Linked DNA regions of Alligator mississippiensis. The main gene of each other region encodes a partner of the protein of the gene in region 2 in a complex. Links are inferred from orthologs where the notes say so. Each region holds a gene or a part of one and is shown on either strand. Other genes may lie near its edges. The genes, in order: APBB1IP, TLN1 and PIP5K1C.

Region 1 (7,845 bases), on a different chromosome or scaffold from region 2:
GTCCAACATACAGCCCGCAGGCCACCATGTGATTTTATCTGGCTTGCGGCAGCAGCACCACCACCACCATGGAGCGCAAAGCCGCCGCGGTGGCAACAGTGCCACAGAGCGTGGAGCCGGCGGCGGTGTGGAGCCAGCGGCGAAGGCAAAGCAGGCAGGGAGCGCAGAGGGAGTGTAGCGTGGCGAGGCGGGCAGGGAGTGCTGCGGGGCGTGGAGCTGCGGCGGAGGGGTGGGCAGAGCGCGTGGAGGGAGTGCGGCGAGGCGGGCAGGGAGTGCTGCGGGGCACGGAGCCACGGCGGCAGGGAGGGCAGAGAGCGTGGAGGGAGCGCGGCGAGGCGGGCAGGGAGTGCTGTGGGGCACGGAGCCGCAGCGGTGGTGGGGCCGTGGCGAGGCGGGCAGGGCCAGCCCACGGGCCCCAGCCGGCAGCGAGGGGAGGGGAGCTGCTTACCCCTGTGGGGCCCGGGGGAGCGGTCCCAAGCGGGAGGCCAAGCAGCGGCTGCTGGCAGTGCCCCCCCCCCTTCAAGCCAGCCCCGCTGCCCCTGCCCTGCCCCACAGCAAGGCAGCGCCTGCTCCCCCGGCCAGCCTCCCCCCGGGCACTGCAGCTCTCTGGGCCCGGCTGCCCGTGCGCGAGGCCCCAAGGGGGCTGCTTCTCAGGTGCTGCTGGGGACAGGAGGAGCATGGCCAGGTCTGCACCGGCCAGCAGAAGCAGCAGTGGAGCCGTGTGCCACTCGGGACGAGACAAGCCTGCACCGGTCAGTCCCGAGTAGCACATGGCTCCACCGCCACTTCTGCTGAGTGGTGCAGACCTGGCCGGCCTCCTCCTGTCCCCAGCAGCACATGGGAAGCCGGCTTCAGCCGCATGCTGCTTTTCCTGGCCAGTGCCAACCCGGTTCTGCCCAGGCGGGTCCTGCAACACCATGTCAACCCGGTCATGGCACCGGCAGGCTGGGCGGGCCCCAGGTTAACCCTAGCCTGGCCCCACGGATTTTCCAGCACCAGGTCAACCTGGTTGTAGCCAAGCAGCTCCTGCAGCACCATGTCAACCCGAGCATGCATGCCATGTCAACCAGCACTATGTCAACCCCTACAACTTAATTGGTGTCAAAGGTCACGTGACATCATTTCCTGATATGATACCACTTCCTGTGACATCTTTGAATATGGCTCGCCAGCCCACTGGGTGATAAAAAGTTCGTGATCCGGTCCCACATTCAAAAAGCTTGAACACCCCTGGTGTACAGGCATGCAAGTGTCCCCTTGGGGGTCCTTGCCTTGCCTACAGATTGTTCCAGGGCTGGGGTGGGGGTGGGCTCTCTTAAGTGCCTTGGCCTGCTGGCTTTGCAAGGGTTGCTCAGCAGGCCAGCAGTGGCGGTATTCCCCACCCTGTCCCCCGACAGGCTTAGTTTAAAGCCCGGTGGAGCAAGTCAGCCAGTCTGGCTGAGAAGAGCCTGTTCCCCAGCTGAGAGAGCTGGAGGCTGTCCCTTCCCAACAGCTGGCTGCCTCTCTCACCAAAGAGTGGACTGTGGTCATGGAAGCCAAAGCCTTCCCGATGACACGTGCCAGTCTTTGGTTCACTACCTCAATCCTCCTTTCCCTCCTCAGCCCATACCCCAAAACCAGGAGGATCAAGGAAAACACCACCTGCGCCCCCAACCCCTTAAGCCCCGCTCCCAAATCCCTGTAGCGCTTCATGACCCAGCTGGGAATGCTACGAGCACCATGGACCCCTGGACCCCTCCCACCACAGACCCCACTTACCTCCGGCTGTGCTGGGGGTCGGCGAGGTGCTCCACGGCTGCTGGAGGTCACTGGGGGGCTTCAGGGAGCCAGGGCGCAGCAGACTTGCACCCACACATCTCTCGCCGCTCCCAGAGCCTGACCGGAGCTCTTGTTGTGAGCCTTTGATATTGCTACCAATCCACCTTCCAAAAGTTTCATCTTGGAGCTGGTATGGATGTTTTATCTTGGAGCTGGCCTTAAAAATCTTATTGTCAGTACTAATGAGTGAAGGTCTGTATCTGGAATATAATAGTATCTGGAGGGAACATATTCATATTTCATCAGCCCGAGACCACCAAAATCCTAAAGGAAAATCTGCACTAAATGAAGCCTATTTTAGCTAGGATGTACGAAATTCTGCTATTAAATTGTTGCGGCATGGATGTATGTATGACAAGGTGATCTGCTTTACATATACTTCCTATCCCCAAACCTCATTCTACCATCTACCTAAAGGCCGCTTTTTTTTTTTTAAGAACAATGTACAAATAGCATTTGTGTTTTATGACATTTCTGTGATTCAAAAGTAAATTAATGAGTTACAAAAGGTTATTTTCATTTTCTTACCCCTAGGGAGTAGAAGAATACATAGGTCGGATTATAACAGTAAATGTAGTCACTATGTATATTCAGCATTTCCACTGATTTCAATAAATTTTAGACTGGGTAGAGGCTAAACTATTCAATGCAATGAGAATTTTGTTTGTGTCAGTCTTGTAAAAAGCCTGTAAGATCAATCCCTAAATATCACATCATTATGAAGGCAAGAAGAGACTAAAATACAAAATGATGGGAGTATATTCATGGTAAAATTCATTGTAGAATTTTTTTTTTTTCACTCAGTGAAAAAAATGTGTTACTTGATAAATATCAGGTCTTCCTTCTGGAGTGTTGTTTTGCTGATGATAAAAGTGTTTCTTTCTATTTGTTTCCTCTCAGAAACAGATGTTCTGGCTTGGATTGCAATCGTTTGCTGTTTTAGTGAAATGTACATTACAATAAAATTCAACTAGTGTGGACTGTCGCGTTTTGATAAGGCTCCCAGAGCTGAATGTATATAATGACAGCATTCACTGCTCTAATATTATCCATCCATTGATCTACAAGGCAATGATAAGAAAAGAAAATGAACAATTTGTAACTGCATAAATTAAATTCTGAACCACACAAATGCCATAAAACACAATAGTTTTTTCCTTGAATAAGTGGCTTTTGAGAAGAAACAAAAGAATAGGGGGCTAGAGTTCAGGCAGAGAATGAATCCTATAAACATTCATTTTAAATGAGAAAGGAAAAAAACAATTAAGAAACATTACACATGCCCACCTGCTCATGCCACAAACTTTTTCTCTTATACATGTTAGGACACACATCATTAATCATCTCTGTATCTTCCTGCCACTTCTCTAATTACATTTTTTTCTTTTTCAGTATTCTGTAATCTCCACCCATCCCACTGAAGCAAAATGTTTCCAGAATGGACTACCACCAAAAAATAAGTCTCATTATTTGAGATCATTTGCAATTTGTATAAAATCACATTTTTTAACTCCTTCTGGGGATGATGTATGCCATGTGTCCACAAAAAGAGAATGACACCTACTCTGCTATCCTCTGCTATAAATAAAGCAAGACAAGAAAAAGCTCACCATTAATGTCATCAGCTATTTCTTTAGTTGTATTTCAGGCTAACTGAATAGAGCAAATATAAATTATATATATGTAACACCAGTAGAGGCACATTGACACTAACAAAAGGCTGTTCTTTACTTGTAAAACTAATCTCCATAATTCAGCAACTGTAGATATACTGCATACTAAATCACTGGTATAAATTGGAGTTAGGTGTTTTCACTAGTGCATTGCTTATGGAGGGGATGTGTGAAATTTTCCACCAGAAAGGTCCTAAAGAAAGATGCCATGCTGGTTAAATTTTTTCCATGAGAAATTGATTATTTGAATCACACTTTCAAAATGTCAGTGGGAAATTTAAAACAAATCTGAATTGACATTTTGAAATGATTTCTGTCTCCAATTCCAGGAACTGAAAGAATCAAATGCAGAGATAGACCTGCTCATAGCCTACTGGAACATGTTCAGTACAGCTGGACGCATAGGAGACTGTAATTGCCAGATTCAAAAATCTCTGATGAGTAGCCTAGAGTGAAATTTTTCAGAGATTAATGATTTGGTCGAATGTGGGTGGATTTTTATGGGGATGACGAAAAGCACAGCCCTCTTCCCTGCCAAAACGCAAGGCCTTGTTCTAAAGCAGTGGTTCTCATCCTGTGGTCCACAAACCCCTGGGGGTCTGAAGACTATGTCTAAGGGGTCCACAAAAGATGGCTATTATCAATCAAAAGTACGTGAAAACCCACACTTAGAATTTAAAAGGGTCTGCACCTCCATTTGAAATTGTTTAGGGGTCCCAAAATGAAAAAAGCTGAAAACCACTGTTCTAAAGTACTCAGTGACAAATATTCCCCAACCACTTTCCTGAAAATAGTTAAAATGTTTTACCTGAGACTTTGCAAAACAATCCAGCCCCTGTCAAACACACGGCATAAAAAACTCCAGCCCAAACACTTTAAGTTTGGCAAAATTCTAAGCAACTAAAAAGAGGGTCTCCTAATAGCAACGGCAACGCCTGTAACTACACGAACAGCGTATGGTAGTCAGAATCAAAGTAAAACTGCAAACCACAGACATTATAGTTACTGGCAGGGGCCTCAAGTTAATTTTCAGTCTAGTAATTAAAATAACCTATGAATGTATCCGGCACACTTCATTTTGTTCTGTTTTAGAAAAGTTAGATGACAGCCTGAACAAAGCCTTACTAGATTGTCTAAGTTAGTTCCCCTTTTTTGACACAGTGAGCAAACCTAAGGATGAGTTGCCTTTCCTTTGTTCTCGGCAGCACTTCTTTTCCTGGAGTTTCATCATTGTTAGGGGCTGCAAGGAAGGGTACAGATCATCAGGCGCAGGCCCCTGCACTTGGGCTGGGATCAGATGACCCCAGCACCATGGGCGTGGAGACGCTTTTTGGAGATTGCCAGAGTGGATGACTGGACCTCCTCTGAGTTTAACACGCTGCAAAATCCTATCTGCTCAGCGAAGACCAGGTACAGAGATTCGGCCTCTTCTGGGAAAGCTGCTGCCTTCCCAAGAGTGTAAACTGTTCAGGAGTTTTCTCCCAAAGTAAAAATGGCGGCTCCGGGAGGAAAAGTAACCTGGCAACAACCAGGATGAAATCCCTGCAGGGAGAGTGGCCCTGTAGGCGCTGTCCTGTGGCACGGGAGTAATTGGAGCAGGGCACATTGTGGTCGGGGGAGAAAACTTGTGTACGAGTCAAACACCTCAGCCGGCCTGGCCGGGACAGTGACACCGTGAAGGGGCCGCTGAGTGGGCGGGCAGAGGGGTCAAGAGCAGCCAGGGCTTCCTTCACCGTACCTCCCTCCCTAGCAGGGGCGGCCACCCCCGGCCCCAGCCCCGGCCCGCCGCCGGAGGGAAATGCCCGGGCCGGTCTCAGGCTGGGCGCCCCTGCGCCGCGCAGGAAGGCCCCGGGGCGCAGCGCGGGGAGGACGGGGCCGGTCCCGGCCGCAGGGGACCGGAAGGACGACGCCCGTCGGGGCTCCCCCGGGGCGAGGCGAGGCGAGGCAAGGCGAGGCGGGGCGGGGCCGCCGCGGGGGTGTGACCGGGGTGCCCGCGTAGCCCGGCCTCCCTTCCTCCTCCCTGCCTGCGTCCCTGCCGGCGCGGGGAGCGCTGTCCGACGGGCCGCCGACGTGAGGCCCCCGCGGCCGCAGCGAGGTGAGCCGGGCCGGGGGGCGCGAGGCTTGGCGGCTCCGCGGGACATCCCCTGCCCGCGGGGCCGCGCCGGGGCCTCCCGCGGCGCCGTGCCCTGCCTTGGAGGGCCAGCACGGCCCCGGCCCCGGGGGGCTGGGCTGGGCTGGGGGCGGCGGCGGCGGCGGGCCCGCGGGGTCCTGCTGAAACGTGCCGGGAGGGGACCGGGAGGGCGCCGGGTGCTGAAGGCAGCGAGGCCGAGACGGGCCGAGCTGTCGGGGAGGATGAACGCCCTGGCCCGGCTGCCCTGCAGGTGGCACCAACGGGGGAAAAACAAGGCACAGCCTACCGGCCTCTGTAGAGGTGCTGCCTGGGGGACCGAGGTGTCTTCATCCTGCTTTCAAACCGCAGGGCGCCCTGTTAGCCCTCTGCCAGCTCCGCGGGGGATGAGGTCCACAGCCAGCGCTTCCTTCAGTGACAAGGACACTTGGCAGAAGCAAAATAATGATGCTCTAAAAACAAAAAGGGGGGTGAGGGGGCAGTTTCCTTTCACCTCATGCACCTAGTTCATCTTCAACCAACGTAACCTTACCTAAAGCAAGGACTTGGAAGGATTGAAATTATATTTATACTTCATAAGATAAATATATGTGGTCCTGCTATTATATACATTAATACATTTATATATATAAGTGAATAATAATATATCCATTAATTAGTTAATATACATAAATCAATCCCAGCCTTGGCTAGGAAGATCTAGTTGGGGATGGTCCTGCTTTAGGCAGGGGGTTGGACTTGATGACCACCTGAGGTCCCTTCCATGCTAATTTTTTATGATTCTACTATGATCTAGTTTCATTTGATTTACCATATTTGATGTTATGGGAGCTACGTTTGTAATTGACTGCTCTTCTCTACTCAGCATGTGTCATTCGGATTCAGATTAATTTCCATTAAGGTTGACTAAGCAGGCCTGAAGCTTACAGGTCCATCCCTACCGCCTCCTCCCCACATAGGCAGGCCAAATTCTGTGTCTTGTGTTCATGAAACAGCAGTCGTTCCTGCCCAGAGCAGGGGGGTTGGACACGATGACCTCAAGAGGCCCCTTCCAGCCCTAAACGTCTGTGTGAATCTGTGAAAACGTGTGTTAGCCTCAGCCAGGCTTTCATTTTAACTTCACAGTGAACAGAACTAGTCAATAAATGTTTGCATTATTTTAAGAAATAAGGCTAAATCTTGACATTTGCCCTGAGAGCTCATGGAGAATGAGTAAAGTTCCCTAACTTTAAAAAGAGGGACTGAAGGAATCACAGGCCAGTCAGCCTAATGTTGATGACTAAGAATATTCTAGTACAAATTATTAAGCAATGAATTTATAAATGGCTAGAGGATAATACGGTATTACAACAGCCAAGGTGGCTTTGTCAAGAATATATCAGACCAAACTGAACTAATTCTTTGGTAGAGCAATTGGCTGCATGGATAGGGGGGAAGCAGTAAATGTAAAGTTTATTTTGCCTTTGAATATAGCCTTTGATACAGTTCCATATGACATTCTCATATCAAAAATAAGGAAAAAATGTCAAGAAGAACAGAGTCATCAGAGATCATTGAAAAGGACAAGTCAAATGGGTCTCTCAGGAATTGGTCCCAAGTCTAGTTTTCCTCAATATTTGCATTAATGTCTTGGCTGATGCAGATGATACCAAATTTGGAGGGGGTTGCAAGAACTTTGGAGAACTGGTTCATAACTCAGAATGATATTGATAAATTGGATAAATGCTCCAAAATCTTGCTGATTTTTAACCAGTAAAGACAGATGCCAGTAAAGACAAGTGCAAAGTACTGTTCTTTGAAAGGAGAAATCAAGTTCACACATACAAAGTGGGGAATAACTAGCTAGACAACAGTACTGTAGAAAAGGAGTTGAAAAGTATAACGGAAAAAGTTAACGAAATACTGTTGTGAAAAAGGCAATCTTAGATGTATTAACAGAAGCACCATCTGTAGCACAACGGAGGTGATTGCAACAAAGCAACAAAAATGTAGAAAGATGACCTATGAAGAAAAGTTAAAGAAATTGGATTTCTTTAATCTAGAGCAGGGTGGACCAATTTACGGCCTGTGGGCTCTGCAGCCACCTCTCCCTCTGCTGCGCAGTGGGGGAAAGAGCCGGGAGGGGAAGGAACTGCACGCCACTCACGCCACGCACACAGTGGGCAGTGGAGGGGGAAAGGCACTGCTAGCATAGCCTGAATGAGGGGGACAGTGTTTCTGGGGGCC
Region 2 (7,103 bases):
TGCTGCCGGTGCCCGTTCCCCCCCAGGCAGCTGCAGCTCAGCACATTGTGGGGGTCTCCCTGACCCCGGGGGCCACGGACCTCCCCGCTCAGCTCTGCCCCACTGCCCAAAGAGGCCCTGGCCCCCACAGTCCAAGTCTGGCCGACACTGCTGGAGAAGGTGCAGCGGGGCACCCAGCGCTGCAGTGAAGAAGGCTGCGCTGGGCGGGCCTGACTGGGCGCTCACATCTCGTCCGCGTGGTGCTGCTGGATGATGACGCTGGTGCTGCGCTCCACCCACTCCTGCTTCTTGGCCTCCCAGGATACCGGAACTGTGGAGGGCAGGGAGCTCCGCCCTGAGGGCTCCTGTGGGGGATGTCCGGCCTGCTGGGAGCCCTGCACGGAGGCGCTGGGCGCAGGTGGATCAGAGGACGAGTTGCTACTGATGGCAGAGTGGGACTCTGCCTTGGACAGACTGTGGCTGCCCTCTTGCGAGCGGTTGAGGCTGTCCTGCAGACCTGGCTCTGGCTCCGGGGCCAGCCCCTTGGGCATGCTCTCCTCCTGCCCATCGGGTGCCACTGCCCACGCGTCCCCCATGCTCGGGAACTCGCGGATCTGCCGGGACAGCACTGCAAGAGAGGAGCGCATGACTCTCATGCCTGGTGGGGCAGACGAGCCCAAGGAGGAGCCAAGTGCCTTGCCCAGCTCTGAGAGGAAGCACAGACTGCCAGGCCGGATCCCACCTCTTCCACCCGCCCTGCAGTCGACCACTCACCTCCACGCAGCTCCTGCTGCCGCCCCCCTGCTCCGAAGAAGAGGCTGGGCGTGAGGATGAGGCAGAAGGACAGGAACATGACCTGCAGAGAAAGTGAGCCGTCAGCTTTGGCCCAAGGCTGGGGACCGAACGCTGCTGGGAGCCCTGCGCCCCTGCAGGAGAGAGTGTGTGGGCTGGCAGAGGCTCCCGCGGCACAGGGGACAGGCCCTGGCCTGGCTGTTGGGCCACTCACCGCGATACAGGTACTGGCTGTGGTAGTCTTGGTTGAGGACTGTCGCACCAGGGCCTGGAGCTTCCGCAGCTGCTCCAGCAACGACCTGCAGCAGAGCAGGAAACGGGGTGAGCACAGCCGCAGCCCCGGGCCAGGCCAGCCTCCTCCCATCCCCCCTGGTCCCGTAGTTCCAGCGTGCCTGGCAAACAGGCTCGGACTGTTCTGCACCAGTCGCTGGTGCTGCCCTGCAGGGGCTCAGGACCACAGAGGGCCCCGCTGCCCTTGCCAGGTGCTCACGTTGGGGACTCACATGTTCTGCTTCTGCAGCAGCTGCACCTTCTTCTGCAGCTCGTGGTTCTGCACCGTGCAGGCTACCACCCTTCCGGCAGGCAGGGGACACAAGACAGCACATCAGCCAGACCAGACTTGGGGGCTCAGCTCAGCGCCTGGGGGCTGACGGCGCAGGGCAGGAGGGCCCGGCTCCTTGCACATGACTCGGCCCTCCTAGCACTGGGCTCCCAAGGTCTTACGGGGGCAGGGCCCTTGTGCTAGGCACCTGGGAGGAGCCCCCAGCTGACGAGGCAGGGCAGGGCTCCATGGGACGTGAGCAGAAGAGGCGGAGGCTCCCAGAGGAAGAGGGCCTGGCTCTCCACAGCAGGGGCTGGGCCCTCAGCCACAGGAGCAAGAGCTCCAGCTGCCCCGCAGGGGCAGCATGGCAGCTGGGCGAGGCTGTGGGGCTAACAGGACCTCCTATGGAACTGCTCCCCGTGCCCCAGGTCATGGATACAGCCCCTACTACAGGCGCTGTGGCAGGGGGACATGCCCACATCACTGATGCGTGGCTCCCTCCGCCCACGCCGGGCTTGGTACCTGCTCTCCAGCCCATCCACATAGATCTTTTTGCGCCGGCGGCTGTCCTGGGCCGACTGCTTGTTCCGGATCTTGCGACGCACCCTCTTCAGCAGCCGCTCCTCAGCCTGCAACAGTCACTGCTGTCACTGGCCGTGCCCCCGGCACCAAGGCAGGCAGCGAGGCTGGACCCTGGGCCGTGCAGCCACTAGCCCGCGGCCAGCAGGTACCTTGCACAGGCAGGGAGGCGGACAGGGCAGAGCCGCTAGCCCTGGCCCCCGGGACAAGGCTGGCTGCACACAGGCCTGGCAGTTTAACGGGCCGGGCAGCTTCCATCCTTCCGCTGCCCGCTCCCTGCATGAGCGCAGCGAGGCCCCTCGTGACAAGGTGACGCCTTGGCTGCCAGGAGGGCGAGGGGCAGTGGCTGCAGGTCCAGCACAGCAGCCGGCTGGGGGCAGCCACAGGAGTGGGGCCAGCAGCAGTGGGGGCCTGGCCCCCTGCCCCTTCCAGCCACCGAGGCTGAGCCACGTGCCACGGCCCCGGGGACTGGGGCTGCTGCTCAGCACTTGTGCCCACACCTGAACCCCTGCCTGGGGAGGGGTGCGGTGCCAGCGGGCAAGGGCTCACCTTGGTGAGGGGCAGGTGGGACGGCAGTGTGACGCCATCTTTCTCCAGCAGCTGCCTCTCCTCCTCCGTCAGGTCCAGCTGGAGACGAGCAAACCCCAGGGTAAGGAAGGAAGCGCCAGGCGGGGCGGGCGCCGGGAACCAGGACTGTCCCCGCGCAGGAGCCTCCGCTAGTCCGCGGTACCCGACAGGCCTCCCCGCGGGCACCTGCCGGCCCGTCTGCAGGACTCCTGGGAGCAGGGGCTGTACCTGCGTGGGGGTCCCAGGCACGACGTCCTCCACGGCCACGGCCACGGGGAAGCTCAAGCTCTGCTCGCTGCCCGAGGTCTCCTCCGCGCTCTCCAGCCCGGCCCACGCGTCTGGGAGAGGAGGGAAGGGGTCAGACGACCCCCGCCCCACGGAGCCGCAGCCTCCCCCACCAGCTCCTGGGCCCGGGGGCTCGGGGCAGCCCCGGCCGCAGCCTCCTGCCCCTCGCGGCTCGGCGCGGGGCCGGCCCGTGCGCACCCAGGTCGATGAAGACGTCGCCGTCGGCGGGTCCCGCGGGCGCATGCTGCAGCCACAGCCCGTCCCGCAGCAGGGAGTAGTTGTGCTCGAACTGGACGCTGTCGGGGCCGGGGGGGCTGCCGGGGGACGCGGCCCGGCTGTCGGGGCTGTGCGGGGGCTGCTGCGCGGGGGCCGAGCAGCCCGGGCCCTCCGCGAAGGGGCTCAGCAGGGCGCTGAGGAAAGCGTCCACGTCCTCGTCTCCCGGGAGCTGCAGACCCCAGCGTCAGCGTGGCGGGCGGGCGGGGTAGGGGTAGGGGTAGGGGTAGGGGTAGGGGCCGCCCCGCCCCGCCCCGGGGCCCAGCCTCACCTCGGGCTCCAGCAGGCCCCAGGCGCCGGGGTCGGCCGGCAGCTCCGCGCCCTCCGCCAGCAGAAAGTCCAGCAGGTCCCGGTCCGCGTCCGCGACCCCGACCCCGTCCCCGACCCCGACCCCGTCCGCCAGCGCCAGCGGCGCCCGCTCCGCCGCCGCCGCCACCGACACCGACATCTGCGCGCGCACCCGTCAGCGGGGCCGGCCACGTCCGGGGGGGGAGGGGGGGCGGGGCCGGCCCGAGGGGGAGGGGGGGACCTGGCCCGGGCGGGGGGGGCCCAAGGGGGAGGGAGAGGGGCCCAGCCACGGAAGGAGGGGGGCCCGAGCGGGGCGGGCCCGGGGGGGGGGGTCCCGGGCGGGGCGGGGCGGGGCGGGACCTGGCGCTGCCGCCTGCCCGCGGCCCGGACGCCGGGGATCCTGTCTGGGGGGGGCACCTGGGTCCCCGCCCGGGGGGTGCACGCGCCTGGGCTCCCGGCCCCGCCCGCCCGCCCGCCGGTACCTCCGCCGACCCCGGCTCCGCAGCTGCCGCCGCCTCCTTCCAACACACCAGGAATGACGTCAGCGCCCGCGGCTCCCAGCACCCACCGCGCGGCCCCACGAGGGGCCGGAGCCGCCTCGAGCCTCCATTGGCCGCGGCGCTGCCCGCACCCAAGATGGCGCCCGATTGGCCTCACCCCGCCCGGCGCCCTCACTGCGCCGGCACCATCGAGCGCAGGGCCCAGAGTGGCCGTGGGGCGGGAAGCTGAGAGTGCCGCTCTGTACCTGCCCTGTGCTGCTCCCAGCCCCGCGTCCGCCCCGCAGCGCCGCGCAGCCCGCGGGCCAGGTACGGGGGGGGGAGGGGGCAGATGTGCGTGCCCGCGGAGCGGGGGGGCAGATGTGTGTGCTTAGATGCGTGTCCCCAGATGTGGGCGGCCAGAGCGCGCGCCGCAGGGGTCTCCTGCTTAGGCGGGCGCCCGGGGTGGGCGTGCGGAGGGGTGCCCCTAAGAGGTGTGCGCGGCAGGGCGCCCCGCGATGTGCGGGGCGGGGGGCGCTGGGCGTGCGGGCCCCCAGGCCCGGGCCGCCCCGCGCTGCGCAGCCCTCCCTGGGGTCCCCGTGCGCGGCGCCCGGCTGTGCCGGTGCCCTGCCCGGCCCTGCCCGGCCCCTTGCCGTGCCGCCGTGTCAGCCGGGCCGGGCCGGGGCGGGGTGGGGCCCGCTGCCTCTTGGCAGGAAGCGCAGCTCGCGGCCGCCTGCGGCTCCTGCTCGCTCCGCGCCCGCCCGCCCGCCGCTTCCTTCCTCCGCCCCGCGCGCAGGCCCTGGTGGCGCCCGCCCGCCCGCCCGCCCGCCCGCCGGCTCCGGCTCCGGGCCCGGGGCACGGTTTTGTGCGACAGGTTTGTGTGCGGGGCGGGGCGGGGCGGTGGCAGCAGATGCAGGCCGGCCCGGGCGGGAGGACACGGCGGAGCCCAGGCCTGGTGCGGTGCGGTGCGGGTGGGGGGAGGCGGCGCGCGCGGGAGCCCCGGGCCGGGCCCCAGGGCGGGTGCGGGAGGGGCCGCACTTGGTGCTGGATCCCGCAGCTGCCGTTGGGGGGCGGCGGGGGGGCAGGAAGCCGTGCCAACGCCCGTCCCGGGTGTGAGGCATCCTGACTCGCGGCTGAGCCATGGTTTGGCGGCGCCGCGGGGGGCCTGCTGCCCCCTCCCCCGCGGGGCGCGTGTAAGGAGCGTGGCGCACGTGGGCCGGGGCCGGGGGTGTTGCGGTGCTCGGCTGGGCCGCCCTGGCGTTGTTGGCACCTGGGGCTTTGCCCCCTGCTCTGCCCCCTTCCCTGAGACGAGACGGCCTGTCTGGGCCGTGGCTGGGGGCGGGGGTCCCTGCCGTGGAGCCCAGCTGGCTGTGGCCCGGGGGGCCGAGCCGTGCAGTGTCTGGCTTAGCGGGTGATGAATGGACGTGGCCGCGGGGCCTGGCAGCGCGGAGCTGGGCGCTTTCCATTTTTAGTCAGTTGTGTCCTGCAGCTCTTGCTGCAGGGTTCCTGGCTCCCGCCCGCTCCCTGTGCCAGCCCCAGGTCCGCAGCGCTGTGCTGTGTAAGGCTTCCCGGTCCCATGCAGCTGCTGGGCTGTGAAACCACCAGCGTTTCCTGGTCCCTGCCCCAGGGAAGGGATCTCCTCGCTGCGGGAGGTCTGCTGCTTGCCCTCCTGGCATCCTCCCGGCTCTGTGGCCCTGACCTGATGAGACCTGATGACTCTTCGCCTTCACGCCTTCCCCTGAGCTCTGTTGCCTCGTGGGGCTGGGGGTCCTGGCAGTACCTGTCCTGGGGGTGCCTCTCCCCTGCCCCAGTTGCGGGTTCACCCCATGCCCACATTTCCTGAGAGCTGGAGTGTTTCTTTGAAGGCAGCTGCCGGGCTGTCCCCAGCACGTGCTGGGGCCCGGGGACTTCTGAAGGGGATAGGTCGCAGGGGCTGCCTGTCTGTGGGCAGAGGGGGAAGCTGCCTGGGAGGGAGGTGGGCCTGTGCTCCAGGCTGAAGGACAGGCAGATGCGTTGGTCTGTGGGCAGCGGCTTCGGGCCCCGACATGCCCTGCAGAGCGTGGCGGGGCCTTTATCTCGAAGCCCTTCCTGTGACAGCGAGGCGCCAGGTGAGGCGATTGATAGCTTCTCTCAGATGAAGGGCTGGGGGTGCATTTCCACGTGAGGGGTCTGGACAGGTATGTGAGCCTGTTTCTGACTGCTCCTGCCTGGAGAACGGCTGGCCGGACTCAAGGCAGCAGGTTTGCTCACGGTTGCTCCTCTGTATGGGGGCACGGTCAGGTGGGCCAGCCGCCGTCGCCTTGACTAGAGCCACGTCCCGGCTGCGCCCCTCTAGGCACAAGACCCTCTCTTGTATGTTGGCACGGCTGCCCCGCTCCGCTGCGGCTGGGCTTTCGGAGGGGCGCCATCCGCCAGTCCCTTGGCATGCTGTTTGGCTCTTGTTGGCGCTGGCGCCTGTGCAGACATGAGCTGTATCTCCATGGGCAGGAGAGCACGTGGGACTGCTTTGAGCTCTGCGGGGCAGCGCGGGGGCAACGGTGCTGTGCCACCAGAGCTTTGCCTTGCAGGGCTACAGGGCAACTGAGGCAACTGCTGTGGAGCCATCAGCAGTCCTGTCAGCTGAGGCAAGTGCTGCCCCTGCATGAGTGCTGAGCCCGCCTGTGCCCCCCAGCGGGGGTGAGGTTGCGCTCCCCTTCGCCACGTGTCAGGTAGAGTAGCGCCTGAAGTGTCATGCTGCGCATCGTGATGTCTGCCTCGGGCTTGCTGTCCTGCTGCTTGTGCAGGGCAGGAGGCAATGCCATCGCACCAGCTTGGCAGCGTCGGATGCCTCCTGCCCCTCGTGCCCAGCTTTCAGGCCCTCCAGCAGAGGCTGGGGTTGCTTTCGCTTGCCCACGCTTCGTGATGGGGCCTTGGTGGTCCTGGCCTGGAGTTAATTTTAATCTTCTCCTCTACAACGGGGCTTGGCACAAAGTGACCTGGTGCCTCCAAGTGAAGGCTGTGAGGACTGTGTGGCTGAAGAAAATTGTGCAAGGCAAGGGCCTGGAAGCAGGGAGCATTGGCCCTCATGGGCAGGGGCTTTCCCGCTGGCCTGGGGAGGGCAGCTTGGCTCAGGTACATGGGGCAAATCCCATGGGGAGGAGACGGTGTCACCAGTGATCCTGTCCCAGGTGGGGAGACTCCGTTCTGTTAGTGACGGTGGCGCCTGGTAGGGTCCAGACTGGCTGCCTCAGGCACACATGCTGGTCTCCAGCTGGGGAGTGGTGCCGCTGCGGACCGCATTTGACCAGAGCAGGAGGGGCTGCTGTCCTGCAAAGCCCTGGGCC
Region 3 (7,766 bases), on a different chromosome or scaffold from region 2:
TTAATAAAAAGTGCAGCACTGAGCCAATCCAACCTCGTTTCTTGGCAAGCAACCAGAAAGGGGCCTACACTTCACTGATGGTAGCAGGCATGAGAGCAGTTGTGGATGGAAACAAGGGCTTTGCCCACCATGTCGTGATTAAGGCATTGGTACTACGTACACTAGCTGCAATGGATGGAAAACTTCATTAGCAAAGAATTAGCCAGAGACAAGAAGGAAAAACATGTGATGTGGAAAGCATTCAGCCCGTCTGCCCTCAGCTATATTATTTTGGAAGACTATTCCCATACATAGAAATGCCAGTTCTCAGAACATGCCTGTTACAGCAAGCAGCCTGGACCACACAGAATTTCAATATGGCTTTTTTATGGATGTTTGGGTCCTTTCAGATTTGAGTACTGTATTCCTTTTATTTTAATCATTAAAAAAAAGAAAAAATGGGTCTCATACTGCATGCCTCCAGGCACTTCGGGTTTTGAAATACTTTGGGGTTTGAAACCACACATAGCACACTTAGGACACTACACAAGTAAAGAATAACTACCCATGCCCCAAATTAAAGCATCTATACAAGAGTACTTTTCACGCAGCATCTGTCTGATGCTGCACAAACAAGCCAAGCTACTCTATGGGGCTTGGGGTTTTTTTTAATGCCCAGACATCATGCTTCTCTGTTGAAGAAGGAAAAAATTATCCACTCATTGTTTCAAGTCCACAGCTGAGCAATATCTTCCAGCTTCATTTGTTCAAAGTATCAAAATAAAACACTTCAGCCTCCAGTACTTTCAAGAAACCAAAAAAGGGAAAAAAGAAATTGGAAGAAGCAAGTGACAATTTTATTACTCTTTGACGATCAGTTTTTTCTCTTCTCAGCACCAAGAGCCATAAAGCTGCTGCCTTTTGCAGCGTTTTGCTAAACCAATCTCTCACAGTCCTTCAGAAAAAGAAACCTATGGACTCCCCCATTTACTTTTCTAGAGCTCACTTACAACAAGTCCCTCCATTTTGCCTAGCAGAACTCAAGTGAAAACAAAACCCAGGGTCTGGTTTCTATTTCTCAAGAAAACAAATACAAATACATAAAATTACTGCCAATCCCATTAAATGGCATCTCTAAGATAATCAAGCAGTGTTCTGTCCATTTTTTAAGTTTACTTTAAAACCCCAAAGAAAAAGAGAGTATTTTTATAAGATAACAAGACTCAGCTGGTTTTCTGAAACGTTATGACTAAATGCAGTGCGTGGAGTCATAGTTGCTCAGCACCTCGCACTTAGGCCCACAACGGAACTTGTCACCTTAACAGCACAGAATGGCTGCATCATGGTCACCTATGAAAGTATCTAGACAGTGTAAGGTGAAGTTGTAATGAATTACTTGGACACTAGGAAGAAATGTAGGTGGATTTGCAAGCAACATGTTTCTGATCCTGTCTGTCTATCTGAGGCTCCCAAATTCATTTAATATGGCCAGAAAAGGACAGACCTCCTAATATAAGCTCGTTTCCAGCCTAATAATCACTTCATATAACCTTCAGAAGCAAAGCCTTCTGATTTTGACTGGGTAAGATGACAGAAATATTACTTTCCTGCAACTGGAAAAATTCTCACAGCTTATAAGGGCCAGATGGAGGAGAACACAGGAAGAGCACAAGTAACTAGTGAAAGCATTAAAGACCGATGAGGGAAAACCAAACCCCCCACCCACCCCTCCTCCTCCACCGATTGCTTATAGCAAACAAGGTGAAACCTAACCCTGTGGACCATTACAGAGCTCAAGCTTTTCATCAAGGAAACAGACAGGGTGTAAGGAACAGCTTCAATTAAAAAATGCAGTTTCAGGAGAAAGATGACATTGGGGTTTGACTGCAGGACTGAAGCTAAGGAGCTCCCAGACTAACCGTAGAGAGGTGGCTAGCTGTGTTTGCCTGAAGCCAGGCCAGGGTGGCACCTTAGGACTGTTTCAGAGGCTCCGGCTTTCGTCAGTGATGGCCACTTCATCAGATACATGACCTTGGCCAGATCATGCAAGTGTCCCAGGCTCCCCATCTATTGCATGGGGATCACCATTTCCCTCCATTACAAGGAGGCTGTGAAGTCAAGAGTGCCTGCGTGGCTGCTAGGACATTGCAAGGATGAAACCAGGGAAAAGCCAGTGGCGAGCTAATCGACAGGCATGCCTGCCTGTGTCACCAGACGGGCCGCTGACTGGCGGGATCTGGCTGGGAAAGAAAGGTGGCTTTTGCCCTGCAGCCCTTCACGTTTCTAATAACCCCAGGCTGGCTTCATCAGGGGGCTCCTGCCGCACGACAGCCGGGCACAAAACCATCTCCTGGGTGGCTAGAGGACTAGCCCAAGGCTGTCCCCAGGATGCGGGCTGGCAACAGGTGATTTACCCAGTGCCCTGCACCAGCCACAGAGCTCCCACCGCTCGCCGGACATGCTGCTGCCACTGCTGCGCCTGACCCCACGCCGGGACTCCAGCGCCCGGCTTTCCCTGCACAGGGTGCCTCATGCCCGTGGCATCGCCTGAGGCGTGACAAGCAGGATCAGGCCAGGCAGCTCCTGCCAGCTCCGTCACCCGAAGTCCAGCACCGGGGGGAGGGGGGGCAGGGGGTGCTGGCCAGATGCTACCATTCCGGGTGCTGGGGGAGGTAGGGGGTGCTGGCCGGACGCTACCATTCAGGGTGCTGGCCGGACACTACCATTCAGGGTGCTGGGGAGGGGGGGGGCAGGGCGCTACCATTCGGGGTTCTCCAGGAGCAGGCGGCGGCGGGCGCTGCCTTTCAGCAGGTCGCCTCCGGCTGCCTCGGAGCCCCTTTACCTCCTGCCGCGTCCGGTCCAGCCTCGGGAGTGATGGCTCCGGCGCCGGTAGCGGCGGCGCTCTCCGCCTCGTCCGGCACCTCCAGCTCCATAGCCGCGCGGGGAGAGAGGGAGGCTGGGCAGACCCAGACCTCGACCCCGGCCCGGCCACCGCGCCCCCTCCCGCGGCCGCCGCCGACACCAGCACGAGCCGCCGCTGAGGAGACTGGGAGCCGTGACGGGCCGCGGGTACCATAGAGAGCGGGCACCGCGGATAGACACGCCCCCGGGAGCCCAGAGGCGGGAGGAGACCATAGAGAGCAGGGAGGCAGAGGTAGAGCGGTGCTGCACGGGCCGCAGGCCAGCTTGGGCCATTCGCGGCGGGGAGGGGATCATAGAGGCGGTCGGTGGCCAGAGCGGCGCGTTGAGCGGAAGTCCGCCGCAGCTGGGCGCTGGGGGTCACTCGGGGGTAGAGGCGGCTCGCCGTGCACACACGTGCTCTCTCGCTGCGGGGGCAAATTGGGCCCTGCATCTCCTCCTGCTCCTGCACAGCCCCAGGTGGCCGGGCTGCCTGTGCCGGCCTGCTCTGCTGGCATCATGACGGACCTCTAGGGCCGAGGAAATCCCGGGGGCGGCAGGATGAGGCCGACGGGCCCACCCCCTGGGTAGCCATTCCGCCGACTGGCAGCCCTTGAGAAATAAAAACACCCTAACCCGTCAGCTGTACCCGTGTTTTTCCTCTGGAAGATGCCCTTCAAGTAACTCATTCCCGCATCTCCATTTTGGCTCTGGCCGGCCCAGGGTTGTAAGATACTGTTTTAACGATGCTGTGATTCACGCAGCAAAACTCCTGCTTTAACACATAGCGAACTGGTCGAGGTCCAAATCTGGTCTTCCTTCTTAGACTAGACCCGTTTATCGCACATTAAAACGCACATCGACCTGTCCACACCAGCTCCTCGGGATACGTTCGGTCTCGTTTACGCAGCAGTCGGCATACAGTCCGACAGGACGTGGATTCGCAGCACGGCTCCCCGTCGCTAGCTCGACTCTTGGAGCACATTTGCAAGGGATAGTGCAGCGTCATGCCGAGGCAGCCAAGCTGATGAGCCAGTTTAGGCGCTGGCAATAAATTTTGCTGCATTGGCAGGGCGCTCTGCCCGTTTCTGTTGAGAAGCAGGGCATTTTAGCCCAGTGCATTAGCGCAGCCAGATGGCCTCTCTTCCCCAAACTGGCCGGTTCAGAGCTGGCTCATCGGGATACAGTTGGGGCTTGGCACAGGTTCAGTTTGTGCCGTTCCCAGTGTGTGGAGTTGTGTGCTGTGAGCAGAGCTGGGATGTGAGGAGCAGGCTCTGGTTCACGTTCCCAAGTCTGAAGGTATCCTGCTGGCACTCCACCACCCGAGGGGACTGAGCAGGTATCCCAGCACGCAGGGGTTCCCCTGCCTCGGTTGAGATCAGAGCACAGGGTAGGAAAGCAAGCGCTGATTACTTGTCTGGTTGACACTGCCTCTAGCTGAGGGGAACTGAGGCACAGGGGCCAGAGGGCTCATGGGAAGAACTGAGGAACTGAGGTTTAGGAGACAGACACTGGTGTTCAGGCCCCCCCTGCTCTTTTCCTTGTACCCTGTTAGAATCCGAGCCCCTGATGCAACATGGGAAGGGCTCCTGGAGTAGTTCACTGCTCATTGGAACAGTTAATGGTTAATTCTTGCTTCCAAATCACTGAATGGAAAATCAATCCACTTCTACCCCTTCCTGCCCCACCCTTTCCTGCCAGCAAACTGTACTGCCCACACCTCCCTGAGCACTGTCCACACCACACGTGGTTTCTTTGGGAGATTTCTAAGATTGCCTTTTTCCAAGCATTTTGAAACCTTTTTTTGCCATGAATCGCTGCTGGGAATGGAGTGCGACAGCGGCAGTGGCCCGGAGCAAGAGCAGGGGAGCTCTGAGCATACAACACAGCTTGTCCCTTGTGTGCGGCACCGCTGGCATTACCCCCATGACCCTCATTTGGGTCTCAACCCAAGGTTGGGAACCACTGCAGTAGAGTCTGGGTCAAGGGAAAGACGGGCCTTGGAGCATAAGGAGAAACAGAGGGCACTCTGGGATGCTGGAGTAGGGTGATATCTCTGTGGAGCAAGTACACCGTTTGATGTCACTCGAGATAAACCTCAACCTAAAGGGCACAACTTTTACGTTTTCCTCACACTTCCAATGTCACAAATGGCTTAAAAGTGTATCTGCTTGTACTATGGGATGTCACAAATGCACTTGGAATGACACAAATTGAATGTGTTCCAAGACTGTAGTATGTTACTGCAGGCTGTTGCCCATCTTCCCTTTCTCTCACCAGAGCACTGCTTCCTGATGGAGCTCTGCTTCCTTTTCTTTCTCACACCCAGACACAAACCCTAGAAGTCCCACATTGCCACTATCATTTATTAAATAATAATAATCATAATTTATTATGTGTATTGCAGTATCACTTAGGGCCCCTAGTCATAGACCAGGATCTGACTGTGGACAGTCTTCAACCAAATACAACATCTAAGCCTCATGTTGGTGAACAAGGCCTTGCTATTAACAGTGCAAAATGCTGTATCCCCTTCTCCCATGGAAGCAAATACACCTGTTGTGCAATGTATTCAGTCCTGGTTGACTGAGAAAACAAGAATCTGTTCCCTACACCAATGTGAGGTCTCTGGTATTACAGTATTTATTATTTTCTACCCAGGAGACTTTTAATTCACCAGGAACTTGCAATAGGCTGAGTTGCATTTGTCTGGGTGTGACCTTGGTGACCGGCTGTTTTCACAGTAAAACAGCCAGGGTGTGTTTGTGAGTGTCTGTGCATGCGTAAACTAGAAAAAAGGATGTTGGTAGATACATAATCTCATGCTGGTTTTCTTGTTTGTGTGGCTTTGAATTTTGTATTAAATTTGTTTGCTTTAGTGAGTATTTTAAGTTTGAATTCAGCTAGTTTTTCAAAACCTTTAAAGAGAGAGAAGATGTGAAGAGTTTCTCTCAGTGAGTGCCTATCTCATGCAGACCTGCTCCATGTAAGTTTTCCTGGCAGAAGTTTGCACATGTCTACACACAACATGCCTTCAAGGTAGAAAAAAATCCTTTAGCTTTGCCTAGAAACCCTCTGCCACCCAAGAGCAATCTGCTAACCTCAGCAATCCTTCAGAAGCAATCCCATACTTCCTCTCTGGAGTCTGGTTTAGACTCCACTGACTACAGCTCAAACTGACTGTCCCCCACCCCCCGTTAAAATCAGTCCATCATTCTGAAAACACCCATTCTCTATCACCAGAACATGGGAGAGTCAGCAAGTTGACGAGCCAAGATAGGCTGTCATGCAATGCCTAAGCATTTTACTGGAGTAGAAGGAAGCTTGTGGGATCAGGGAGCTGTTCAATTCCAGCTCCATGAAGGAACCACCATGTGTTTGAGGAGATGGCTGGGGGAACATATTGAACAGCAGGCAGTGTAAGGCAAATGAAAGCTGTTTGCAGGCCTGTCACAGGGTGGTCCTCCACAACGAACATTTAGGAGTGTTCTTCAAGACATGGCCTCTTTTTATGGAGCTGGAGGCAATTCAAGGCAAGGCTCTATTCACAAGCAATGGGGGGAAATATTATTTTAGGGGGGGGGGACTGAGCCCCTGCCTGAACCCTGCCCCTCCCTCCCACAGGGCTGTTGCAGGGCCAGCATGCGCTGGGGCTGTATGCAGCAGCGAAGGAGTGGCTGCATGCCAAGCAGCACTGGGCGCTGTGGGACGATAATGATGCTGCTGTTGTCAGCCACAACAAAAAGTTTTGGGGGCTAATGGTTAGCCCCAGTCTTTCACCGCCTATGCCCCTACCACAGTCCATGTCTTGACAGTGGACATTTTGAAGGAGAGCCTAGTGAACCACAGGGAGGAAACATGACTGTGCTCTGCACTAAGGAACAGATCAGCCTTTCTCCGGAGGAGAAATGGGATGAGCCACATGCTGTTTGAGACCCAGGAGAGTCACAGCCAGGGCTGGTCCATGCAGCTGGACAGCAGTGAGGTTCAAGAAACAAGCTCTGGCAAACGCTACCACTTCTTGTTTTCCCCTGTGCCTGCCTGTTCCTTGGCAGACTCTACCCCTTCTGTTTGAATTTTGCTTTAAGAGCTGCTTTATTGACCACTCCTTGCCCGGGCACATAAAGGAGAGAAGAAAAGATTTGTTTCCTGGACCGTGAAAAGTGCCCTTCCCCACTCAGATGGAGATGGTGATTGTTTTCTGTCCTGCAGAGCACAGTGTGCTGCAACATGAGCACGGTGGGGCCATGTGTGCACAGGCACGTTGCTGAGTCAGGGAGTCAGTCAGGAGCGGTGTCTTGATGGGGAAGCTGCTTGTAAATACTGGGTGGCCATGAGCTTCTAAAGCAATGGAGTACCATGCGCAGAGGCAGACAGGAGAGGATGCAGTCTTGCCAGGGAGTTTTAGTGAGGTCATGGTGCAGTAGCAAAGTGCTAGCTTGAGACTCACATTGAGAAACTTCAGCTATGCAGCTGATAGGGGCTGTGCCACCTGCCTGAATAGACAGCAACATCCCTTGCTCCCTGGGGGCACCACCAGCAAGTGCCATAGCAGATATTCCCACAGCCACTCCTCCACTCCTTCAGGTTCCTGGGGACTCCTTCAGGTTCTGGGCTGCCTTAAGGGAGGACAGCCCAGTGGAGTATTGCTGCAAACAGGCAGGCAGTGAAGTGGCTCATGTGCTCCCCAGTCTCCAGCAGCATCTCCTTCCTCTGAGCCTTGGTGACCCGCAGCAAGGAGACATTGCCCAGATCAGCTGCCTGCAAATAATTTAACATTTTGCTTAGCGCCGTGGGCAGCCTTGGATTTCCCTGCTTTATTCTCCATCTCTGCAGAGGCCCAGCAAGCTCACCAGGGCACTAGTGGAACAGGCATTTGGCAGTAAGCA

The links.
Region 1: the proteins of TLN1 (region 2) and APBB1IP are in contact, whole or in part, in a crystal structure (PDB 4W8P), measured with the Mus musculus proteins. The link is inferred for Alligator mississippiensis from reciprocal best matches to the Homo sapiens genes TLN1 and APBB1IP. Residues at the interface, in NP_035732.2 of Mus musculus: Leu1492, Ala1495, Thr1496, Val1498, Ala1499, Thr1502, Ser1503, Cys1506, Asn1507, Arg1510, Val1526, Ala1529, Lys1530, Ala1533, Asn1534, Thr1536, Ala1537, Val1540, Ile1543, Lys1544, Asp1547; in NP_062329.2 of Mus musculus: Asn5, Ile8, Asp9, Met11, Phe12, Thr14, Leu15, Glu18, Met19, Leu21, Leu22, Ser25.
Region 3: the proteins of TLN1 (region 2) and PIP5K1C are in contact, whole or in part, in a crystal structure (PDB 1Y19), measured with the Mus musculus proteins. The link is inferred for Alligator mississippiensis from reciprocal best matches to the Homo sapiens genes TLN1 and PIP5K1C. Residues at the interface, in NP_035732.2 of Mus musculus: Pro209, Val210, Gln211, Leu212, Leu214; in NP_032870.2 of Mus musculus: Pro646, Leu647, His648, Tyr649, Ser650, Ala651.

What each region holds. Positions count from the first base shown.
Region 1 is NC_081828.1:189,074,573-189,082,417, forward strand, and holds the start of APBB1IP (amyloid beta A4 precursor protein-binding family B member 1-interacting protein), read left to right. Parts: upstream 1-4,776; 5' UTR 4,777-4,901; intron 4,902-5,484; exon of another isoform or gene 5,485-5,586; intron 5,587-7,845. UniProt on the Homo sapiens protein: Appears to function in the signal transduction from Ras activation to actin cytoskeletal remodeling. Suppresses insulin-induced promoter activities through AP1 and SRE. Mediates Rap1-induced adhesion.
Region 2 is NC_081826.1:303,314,140-303,321,242, forward strand, and holds the start of TLN1 (talin-1), read left to right. Parts: upstream 1-4,022; 5' UTR 4,023-4,110; intron 4,111-4,586; exon of another isoform or gene 4,587-4,654; intron 4,655-7,103. Other genes in the region: CREB3 (cyclic AMP-responsive element-binding protein 3), read right to left, coding at 222-607, 754-835, 986-1,070, 1,275-1,343, 1,835-1,941, 2,441-2,518, 2,687-2,796, 2,942-3,188 and 1 more. UniProt on the Homo sapiens protein: High molecular weight cytoskeletal protein concentrated at regions of cell-matrix and cell-cell contacts. Involved in connections of major cytoskeletal structures to the plasma membrane.
Region 3 is NC_081839.1:9,176,175-9,183,940, forward strand, and holds the start of PIP5K1C (phosphatidylinositol 4-phosphate 5-kinase type-1 gamma), read right to left. Parts: upstream 3,093-7,766; 5' UTR 2,913-3,092; coding exon 2,822-2,912; intron 1-2,821. UniProt on the Homo sapiens protein: Catalyzes the phosphorylation of phosphatidylinositol 4-phosphate (PtdIns(4)P/PI4P) to form phosphatidylinositol 4,5-bisphosphate (PtdIns(4,5)P2/PIP2), a lipid second messenger that regulates several cellular processes such as signal transduction, vesicle trafficking, actin cytoskeleton dynamics, cell adhesion, and cell motility.